Saccharomyces cerevisiae S288C: one gene and its partners. Changing the gene in region 2 together with the main gene of any one other region gives a genetic interaction. Each region holds a gene or a part of one and is shown on either strand. Other genes may lie near its edges.

The links.
Region 1: of ECM5 (region 2) and SOD1, changing one enhances a phenotype caused by changing the other (phenotypic enhancement), as found in Saccharomyces cerevisiae (2 studies listed by BioGRID, with this or other methods).
Region 3: mutations in ECM5 (region 2) and FMS1 together harm fitness more than expected from each alone (negative genetic interaction), as found in Saccharomyces cerevisiae (2 studies listed by BioGRID).

What each region holds. Positions count from the first base shown.
Region 1 is NC_001142.9:622,036-625,159, forward strand, and holds SOD1 (superoxide dismutase SOD1), read right to left. Parts: upstream 980-3,124; coding exon 515-979; downstream 1-514. Other genes in the region: CTP synthase URA8, read left to right, coding at 1-455; ADO1 (adenosine kinase), read left to right, coding at 1,546-2,568; ECM27 (Ecm27p), read left to right, coding at 2,803-3,124. UniProt on the Saccharomyces cerevisiae protein: Destroys radicals which are normally produced within the cells and which are toxic to biological systems.
Region 2 is NC_001145.3:609,955-613,713, reverse strand, and holds the start of ECM5 (Ecm5p), read right to left. Parts: upstream 1,975-3,759; coding exon 1-1,974. Other genes in the region: YMR175W-A (uncharacterized protein), read right to left, coding at 2,206-2,400; SIP18 (Sip18p), read right to left, coding at 2,459-2,698; PAI3 (Pai3p), read left to right, coding at 3,349-3,555; DDR48 (DNA damage-responsive protein 48), read right to left, coding at 3,733-3,759. UniProt on the Saccharomyces cerevisiae protein: May be involved in cell wall organization and biogenesis.
Region 3 is NC_001145.3:313,276-317,034, reverse strand, and holds FMS1 (polyamine oxidase), read right to left. Parts: upstream 1,659-3,759; coding exon 132-1,658; downstream 1-131. Other genes in the region: STB4 (Stb4p), read right to left, coding at 2,030-3,759. UniProt on the Saccharomyces cerevisiae protein: Involved in the production of beta-alanine, a precursor of pantothenic acid. Multicopy suppressor of fenpropimorph resistance.

The DNA of each region.
Region 1 (3,124 bases), on a different chromosome or scaffold from region 2:
AATTTTTGGACGAGACACTACTAGCTCCTGAAGACCAAGTAGTCATATACATGCCCGAGATCGACAAGGAACACATGGGTGGCACGATGAGATTGGGTTTGAGGCCTACCATTTTCCAACCGAACTCAGAATGGAGCAACATAAGGAAGCTTTATGGTGAAGTTAATGAGGTGCATGAGAGACATCGTCATCGCTATGAGATAAACCCGAAAATAGTGAATGATATGGAGTCTCGTGGCTTTATTTTTGTTGGTAAGGACGAGACGGGCCAGCGTTGCGAAATATTCGAATTGAAAGGCCATCCATACTACGTGGGCACTCAATACCATCCAGAGTATACATCGAAGGTGCTGGAACCATCAAGACCGTTTTGGGGGCTTGTGGCCGCAGCCTCCGGCACACTTGGTGAAGTGATCAAGGACATAAATCTAAGCGAGGGAAATGAAAATGAATGAATTGATGCGCTTACTACTTACTTACATACGGTTTTTATTCAAGTATATTATCATTAACATTAGTTGGTTAGACCAATGACACCACAGGCTGGTCTTGGACCGGCATTACCAGTCTTCAAAGATTCTTCAGTGTCACCCTTACCTAAGTCATCTTGGCCGGCGTGGATAACGACGCTTCTGCCTACAACGGAGGTAGGACCGATAAGCTTGATCAAAGAGTCCTTGAAGGAGCCCTTGGCCACACCATTTTCGTCCGTCTTTACGTTACCCATGTCACCGACATGTCTGACTTCGTCAGTTGGAGCACCATGTGTCTTCTTGAAAGGATTGAAGTGAGGACCAGCAGAGACACAACCATTGGTGGCATCTCCAAACTCATGAATGTGGAACCCACGTTCTGCGTTAGGACTGTTACCAGCGATCTCGTAAGAGACAGTGGTTGGCTCGGATTCGGAAGCCTGTTCGAACTTGACAACACCAGAGACACCGGCATCACCCTTTAACACTGCGACTGCTTGAACCATTATAAATTAATTATGTTTTATTTGTTTGCGCGATTGCTTTCTTGCCTGTTTTTCCGCAACATAGTTACAGCTAAACATTTGCCCAAAACCATCTTCTTATATATATATCTGCGATGGCGAGCCCAGCGGAAGGGATGTCCGCTTACTAATTCCGACACACCGGTTTAACCCCCCGGCGTGCTGGGGTGGGTGCCCCTAAGGGAGCGGGTTCTGTACTTCCAGTAAGCGGCATTTGCGCTGTCATCGCCTTATCGAACCCGCTACTGAGATCATGTCCTGAGTGGGTGAGTCGCACGCCCAATCGGCTGCACTTCAGAGATACTTACGTCCAATTTCGCATCATGCCAATATTACCTGTGGAAGTTGAAACTTTTTTTGCAGATGCCGATAATTTTCACATGGATGAGTCGCAGTGTCGTCGTACGTGATGAGGGCAGGCTTGAAAATTATTCTTCGAGCCCAATTCTCTTTACTTATAGGCATGCCATGTCTAATTAGGTAGTCATCTCAGTTTATCTTGTGCAGGGTAGAACCAAAGATAACAGCAAAAGAAAGAGCAAGCAATTATGACCGCACCATTGGTAGTATTGGGTAACCCACTTTTAGATTTCCAAGCCGACGTCACGGCTGAATACCTGGCCAAGTATTCTCTAAAGGAAAACGACGCAATTTTGGTCGATGCCAAATCAGGCGATGCTAAGATGGCTATTTTTGACGAGCTCTTACAGATGCCAGAAACAAAGCTTGTTGCAGGTGGTGCTGCTCAAAACACTGCTAGAGGGGCAGCATACGTTTTGGGCGCCGGCCAGGTGGTGTACTTCGGTTCCGTCGGTAAGGACAAGTTCAGCGAGAGATTGCTTAACGAAAACGAAAAAGCTGGTGTCAAGTCTATGTACCAAGTTCAAAATGATATTGGTACCGGTAAGTGTGCCGCATTAATCACTGGCCATAACCGGTCCTTGGTCACTGACTTGGGTGCTGCCAATTTCTTTACTCCAGACCACTTGGACAAGCATTGGGACTTGGTCGAAGCAGCTAAGCTCTTCTACATCGGTGGTTTCCACTTGACCGTGTCTCCAGACGCTATCGTTAAGTTGGGCCAACATGCTAAAGAGAACAGCAAACCTTTCGTGTTGAACTTTAGTGCTCCTTTCATTCCTCATGTCTTCAAAGACGCATTGGCCAGAGTTTTGCCTTATGCTACCGTCATCATCGCTAACGAATCGGAGGCCGAAGCCTTTTGCGACGCCTTCCAATTAGACTGTGCCAACACTGATTTGGAAGCTATTGCTCAAAGAATTGTCAAGGACTCTCCAGTTGAAAAGACTGTCATCTTCACCCACGGTGTCGAACCAACAGTGGTCGTGTCCTCCAAGGGTACCAGCACATATCCAGTCAAACCTTTGGACTCTTCTAAGATCGTCGACACCAACGGTGCTGGTGACGCCTTCGCTGGTGGCTTTATGGCTGGGTTGACTAAAGGTGAAGATTTGGAAACCTCTATTGACATGGGTCAATGGCTAGCTGCTTTGTCTATTCAAGAAGTTGGTCCCTCTTACCCTTCCGAAAAAATATCTTACTCTAAATAGATTCTTCTTACAATATAATAGAAATAAAATATACTCTACGTGTTCCCTCTAGCTTTTCATTCGTAGACATGTTTACCGCTTGTTCTTAAACCAAATAAGCCACCGTTACCACAATAAGGAAAAGAGGCGCTATAAAGTACAGCTTCAAGAAAAAAGGACAAGCAGCGCTAAGAACAAAATACTCGTTCATCCTCTCCACATACGGCCGTACACAAGCAACAATAACACAATAATATGGACTGGGCAATCAATGTCGCCCATCCACGATTACTTTACAAGGATCCTAAACTTTCAGTAACGTTTATTGTGCCGAGCTTATTTCATATCATTATTGCTTTCGTGTTATTAGGAATATGTGCATCCGATTTTCTTTGCCCCAACGTGGCCCATATATCAGATCCCAACAGCCTTCGATCGAATGGTTCTTTAGTCTCAAAAACGGCGTCCCATGCATCTCATACTGGGGCATTAATGGCAGTTCTACTATCTTGGTGTAACTCTTCGCCTGACCTATTTTCCAACTTAATGAGCTGGGCAACCTCTACGAGAGAAACAA
Region 2 (3,759 bases):
AAACTTAAAAATGTATGAGCCCTGCTCCTGTGTCGTCTTATAAAGTTTTATGCCATTGGCTAAGATGAAATTAGGCTCAAATATGAAGTCGCTTTGTGAACCATCATGTAGAGTGTTTCCTGCTATCTTATCTTCTGGAAATGAATTTTTTGAATTATCTCCAGTGTTTGAATAGTCAGCAGATTGTTCTGCATCCAAAAATGACTTGTAGAAATCTGTTTCTATAAAGCTCTTTAATTCGTCATCGGAGGTGGAGTAGCGCGGCCTTGATTGGATAGTATCCCATTCACTTTTTCCTCGAGCAATTAAAGCTTCGAATTTTTCCATATCTTTCGGCGCAATACTGTACACCAACTTGGTAGAACCTAAATGATTGAAATCAATTGAAGGTAAAAAATGATCCGAAACAGACCAACCTTGACAAGAAAACAACATTCCAATATCATAAGTGGTTCTCGTAAAATTGGCCATATCCAGATCAAGGTGTTGTAAAAGCGATAGTTCATTGAGAGGAATGTTGTCTAAATTCCACTGGTCTAGAATATTCTTAATGGCAAACTTTTCATTGGACGAGTTGTTTCCTGGTGATCTCATGGAACAGGGTAGTCCAAGACCGGTGTCAATTTCGAAATCTATAAAGTGCTCCGATAGCAAATGAAAGTATAACCTCTCGAATTCCTTTTGAGGTAATGTTGTGTGTTTCGCAAACAAATCAGGATAGCTACTCCCAAATTTCGCTACAATAGCAGTGAAAACAGCCAGACTTTTTTCGTAATACTGTCTCAAATTGTATACTGGAGAGGTTTTGGTTTCGTATTTGCTTTTATCGTATATTTCCATACCATTCTCCCAAAAAGTAAAATCATAGCCCGGTAATGTGGTCTCTGTTGACTGTGTATAGCCTAGTTTAAACTCAGTTAACGAGTTAAAATAAGTCGGAAACCCTTTTATGTGCTTTATGTCCCGCATTCTTTTAAATTCATGATTAATCGATCCGGCTCTAAAGACATCGCGGTGTATTTTAGCTTTTTTATGAAGTGGCTCCTCTTCGTCCCTACTTCTGCTATTTGAGTGACGAAATATTTCAGATTCCACCATGTCTTCATTTTTTTCGTTATTACGAGCAGCTTGCTCTTCTTCTTCATATATGTCAAAGTCTAATAAAATTTTTGCATAGGCAGATCTTAAAGAAGTTGATAACGAACTCATAATCCTGCCCGAGTAACCTAATTCTCTTCCAATTTGCGCCCATAATTTTTTTTCGCAAACAGCATTGAAGCCTCCCCTCAACTTCACACAACTCCTCAGTCTATATAAATCCAAGGTGCGTTTATCGATACTTGGGATCCTTGTGAGAGTACTCTTTTTGATTTTATTGTGAAAATTATACAACTTCGCATAAAAATCAACTATCTTGGTTCTTTGAAATTCATTCGAATTGAAAAATTGTTTTCTTGCTTTAAACCAGAGGCGATCTACATCAACATTTAGTTGAGTAAATTTGTCAGCATCTGGTATAATTTTCAACTTAACACATCCATAAACTGACCCTAAGTCTTCCACTAACTCATAAAATTTTATGGGGTCCGGGAGTTCTTTTTTGGCTAAAATAAATGTTGGAATAGAGTGTGGAGATATTTGATAAAATAAACCCGTCTTTTCATGAAACACTCTTGCGGGTACACCCTCCGGTAGCTCAACTAAATCTACAGATTTTATTGTTTCAGGTGCAAACGGTGCTGCACCACGAGATTTAAATTGCGTATAGAGAAATGGGCTAAAATTATGATTTGAAGTAGGAATTACAGCACTCCGCGGCGATTCCCATTGTTTAATCGAAGGTCGCTCCTGTATCTCTAATTCGATGTCTGCAATTTTAGAGCTTTCATGGAACCCGTTTTGTACCATTACCTTTTCGTTAACCGGTTCATTCAGGATATGAGATATTTTTGTAACAGAATCATGCCCACTCATTATAACTATGGAGATGGACGTACGAACAAGAACATACACGATAATCTAGAATTTGGAACAAAAAGCGAAGTTATTCAATATTATTTTCCTCCGAAGCGCTACACCTCCAGCGCCCTTGAGCTTAAAACAACCTTTATCTTCCACGCTGATGTAAAGTGTAGTTCTTATTTTAAGTGATGATGTTCACGAACTATGCTCGGCCACCGTTCACACATGCCGAAGATTTGAGTGTCACATCAACAGGCTTTCGGACGACTGAATACCAACAGCATCAAGCTGATTTGGCATCATTGTATGCATCATACAAACGTAATAAAGCACGGATGGAAGTCTTAGATATGACTTATATATATTCGTAGAAGAAAATTCGCTAAAATAAGCACTTATTGATTTTGAGTATAAAGAACATAAACATAAACAATTCATAAATAAACCATTAAAAAAATAAAAGGACTTGGTTAATTGCGCCCAAAAAAACGTAACATTATTTTTTCATGTTTTCGTAAGTCTTCCAATCGTTCGCAATTCCTCTGCCAGCGTTCATCTTTGTTCCAGATTGATCATGGCCCATCTTCATTCCCCCTTCGGACTGATCATGACCCATACCCATGTCCATGTTCATATCATCCCTTTCCTTGTTGGAGGATTTGGCGTTCTTTCCCTTCTGATGGGAATCATCGTTACCTTGTAATTTTTCAGCGAACTTATTCATCATGTTAGACATCTTGACTATACTTTTTTATATACCTTTCTACTAAAGTAAAGAGCACAGATACAAAGATTAAAAATGCCTAGGGACAAAACTTTGGGGCAGAATTGGGAGCTTTATATATGTTTGTGATGTTGATTCTGAGGGATGATAATTGCCCTCTCAGTCCCATCATTCTTTACACCTCGTACTGTATTCATGATCATCTATCCATTTTACATACCGCTCCCTTTAAGATACGTTTATTCGTAACTCCCATTTACCAATCACTATGAGCCGTCCACGTTTCCAAAAAAACCTAAACATATGATGCAAACCTCCAATGAGACTCAACGTAACATGCAAGTAAATACAGAAGGTTAAGAGATAGTTGTCTTAAAGGGGTACCGAAAGCATTTAGGGGAGGCTTAAGGGAGGGTGCCGATCCTATGAAGTATTAATACGTAATGCCAAAAGGAATTGTTGAACATCTGAAGTGGATAGATTAATCGTACAGTAATCGTACAGTACTATGTCTTACTGATGTCGGGAATCTCAGGGGCGACCGCCCCCGGCTAGAATTATCTATATAACGGTAAAAAGAATAAAACTCTATTCTAGTTCTCGCCATTTACCTTGACTTTAATGAACCAATAAAAGAAATTTCTACAACCAAGACATCCAGAATGAATACAGACCAACAAAAAGTGAGCGAAATATTTCAGAGCTCAAAGGAAAAATTGCAGGGCGATGCAAAGGTAGTGAGTGACGCTTTTAAGAAAATGGCTAGTCAAGACAAGGACGGCAAGACTACCGATGCTGATGAAAGTGAAAAACACAACTATCAAGAGCAATACAACAAGCTCAAAGGGGCGGGGCATAAGAAGGAGTAGCTCTGTTGTCCTACTATCGATTATTTGTGCCAGCGGGCTCTGTTAGGTTGAGGGTGGAAAGTGTAGAAAAAGCAGACCTATTTGCCAGCGGATACATAGCCACAGCTCATACATAAAATTTTCATACTTAAGTCTAAACACAATAATATATTTTTTTTATCGAAGACATCCAAAAACTTAGTAATCGTCGTCACCACCGTATTG
Region 3 (3,759 bases), 300 kb from region 2:
TAAGCAACAAGTGGGAGAATTAGGTGTACCTCAAATTTTTGAAAAAGCACAGAGTGTTACTAAAAATTTTAATATGTATGTATATCCTTTTCTAGCCGTCAAAAGTGTAAGTAATTTCGAAAAAATAGATTCTATTTCAGTAAGTCAGAGATTCGAGTCGCCTCCCGTCTTCCGCTTTCCCAAGCACCATAGGCACAGCCGGCGCCGTCCATGATAGTATGTTCGCCTGCAAATCTTATGCGGGAGTCTTGACCATTAGACATTGCAACAACCATATCAACTGGATCATCTCCTGGAAAACAGGCCGAATAAGCACCGCGTGAGTAAGGATCGCGTGTCCAGTTGCTAACGATGATGTTTCTTAAGACTGGTTTATTAGCGTTTGCAATGTTTTCTATCGGCCTCATTCCGTCGATGACATCCTCAGAATCTAGACACTTCATAATCTTGTTCAGCACAGGTTGGAAAAAACTAAAAAGACGCTCTTTATCTTCTCTAATGGATTCTATGTGATTTGTAAGCGGTGCCTGCATCAACATCATAAAGCTTGCTACTCCTGTGCTTTTTGACAAATTTACGAAAAATAAAGGCTGGCTCCAACAAGTAACACTCGTATGCTTTTGAGAATCTTCCCTTTCTAGCATAGAGTCTAATTCATCTAAATTTTCCGCATTACGTACTATTTCGACAAATTCATTGGTAGAGTTAGCCAAAGTTACAATTTTTGAACTTTCGTTCGACCAACAACATTCTTCAAACTCAAAAATTACTTTACCTAGCGCTCCAAAATGGATCTTGTCAAAAGCATCTTGAATCACTGGTTTCAAGGGTGGTTGAAATTCTATTCTTCCCCGTAAATTTTTTTCAGGTTGTACAGACAAATTCAATACACTTTGAGGTACTGTAATAATAACATAATCAGCATTGTACACAGTACCATCTTCACAGTTCACTGTCACATTTTTTGAAGGTTCTCGTGTAATTGATTTCACTTCACAACTTAGCTTTAACCAATTTTGAGGAAAGCTTTGAGCAATTCTTTGAACCACAGAATCATAGTTCAAAGCAAAGGCGTTCCTTCCTTGGTGACCGAAGTATGTATCCTTGGCACTCAAAAGCTTCCAATCTAAGCCGTGCCACAATTCCAGATATCGACAGAGTTGTGGCAAATATCTTATTTGGTCATTTGTGAGAAATTGGCGTCTTTGTAGTAAGTATTTCATTACTAATTGAAAAAAGGAGCAATCTGAAACTCCTAAGTGTTGATGGAATTCTAACTCTGCGAATTTGCTCATTTCATTGTCCACAATTTCAAGAAGCAGTTCCTTGTCATGGTCTACCCTTCCACGTTCTTCGTCGATATAAATAAAATTATCGTCATCAAAAACAAACCTCGTTCTCCCATCATTCAAACTCAGTTGAGCCTCTTCCAAAAATAAAGGGTTTGTCAACGTATCATGGTGCCAGCTAGCACCTATATCATATTTCCGACCTTGATAGCCTGTGACAGTTTGCAACCTACCACCGACCCGATCTCTGGCCTCAAGAACAAGACAATCTTGAATACCGTTTTGGTGTAGCGTAGATGCAGCTTTAAGCCCAGCAATACCGGCACCAATTATAATAACCTTTTTTTTGGCTGGTGAAACTGTATTCATTCTCACACGACCACTGTTTTTGCCTTTATTAACTCACTTCTTGTTGGGAACAAAAAAAGAAAAACAGAAATAAAAAACTGCAGCAGAGCAAATTTGAAAATAGTTACCATGGTTTAAAAAAACTCCTCTTTTATATCTTTAGGATACCAAAAATTGTCTATTGTTTAAAAGATCTCATAGCGTGACATCCGTATATGGGTGGGTGACCCGAAATTTGAGCCTCCTTCTTGTAAAACGAGAGTTTGTCATAGCAACGGACCAACATGTGGTAAGGTGAGGTTGACTCAATTTTTTCAACATCTTATATACAATATAATAATATGTAGGTAAACGTGTCCATAAAATGGTTTTATGGAATAGAAAAAGAATCCTTATGCAAAATTTTGGTCAAACCATAATAAATTGGAAAATAAATCATCATCAAACACATTAGGAGAGTTCCCTATTTTACTGACAGTATCAAGAACATCTGAGGGCAATCCAGTATCAGTACCTAGATTTGCTACTGCACTTTCCGGAGAAATTGCGATTGAACCGTCGAAGTTAGTGGTATTATGAGACCTAGTAGCTAATGGTACTCTTTTGCTATTGTTATGTGGATTTTCTTGTCTTTCATCAGCATTTTCTTCTCTTTCACCAGCATCAACTTCAACATCCGCATCATTATCGCCAACTTTCTTGAACTGCTCAAACTTATTTCTATTAGGGGTGTCATCACCATGATCAGTTCCGAGAGTAGCTTCCAATTGCAAAGCAGAATCTCTCAGTCGTATGCAGAACATATGATTCAGCATTTTCAAACACCACAAGCACTCAGGAAGCATTGAAGGCCGATTTTTTGGCTTAGAGCACTCTAAGGTTCGCCATATTTCTTGGCAGCTTTGCATGATAGCTTTATTTTGAGTTACGGCAATCCCTGCGTGCAGGTAGATAATACATATTAAATTTACCGTGAATAGTTGAGAAAGGTTTAACCACCACGGAACAAAGAAAAGATTACTTCTCGTAATTTCAGCCAAATTTTCAATAGCCATTTGACAATGAGAAATTAACAATTCAGTATCGACGACATATTCTAGGGATTTATTATTTGCGGTAGATGAGGGGGCGATTAGACAAAATAATTGTCTTACTTCGAAAGTCAGCCTTATATCCAGGTATGTCATGAATGGTTGAACTTGATAGAAGTAACGATAATTGTCGTCGTACGCATTGGTTTGACTTCCAACTATAAAGGTGTCATACCATTGACCAAGTTGGCTGCGCAATTGCACGGTCTCGTTCAAATTTAAATCCTGTGCGTCTCTTTTTAAAAACTGTGTCACTATTATGGACAAATCAAGCATTTGAAAAGTCTCTTCGTGAAACCAATCATCTTCTTCTTGTAAAAATTTCTTTGACTTCACTAGATTCATCTGTTCGCACATCTCGCTCGCGGGTAATGATAGTTGGTAGAATCGACCCATTTGAAAACTTATCAACTTATCCATTATAAAACAACACCAGAAACAATGCCATGCTTTTGATTCATCATAAGTGGAATGGATCTCAGGAAATTTGTTTAAATATAGACTCATCCCATTACACATGTTCACCGCTTGACTTAACGCGTTCCAGCACGCCGTCTGTCTGTAACAGGTTCTGAAATAGAAGGTTATCAAAAGCCACGATTGTATTAGTTCGAATGATTCCCACTCAAAGGTCAGCGTGTTGATTATTAAATAAGCGTATTTGAATAAATTTTCCTCTATGGAGGGTTTTTTGATCAAAATAGATTTTTCCTCGAATGTGATATTTAAGGATGTGTTACTGTAGGTTCCTTGCCCTTTCTGACCATCTAGATGCCCTTCTCTGAATCTTAGTGTAGTAGACAAAATTAGATAAAGCATGGAAGTGAATAGATTCGCAGATGAATTATTTTGTTTACCTTGCCGTAGAAATTTATTGTTATATTGCTGCCAAAATGTCGCTTCGTGAATGATACTGAAAACAGGATTGATCTCATCAAAATAATACCTTAGTAACTTATTGATTAAGGATAAGTGAACAGGGTCATCAAAGTCGAAAAATTTAGACTCATGCCTTATATTTTTTTCTTGGC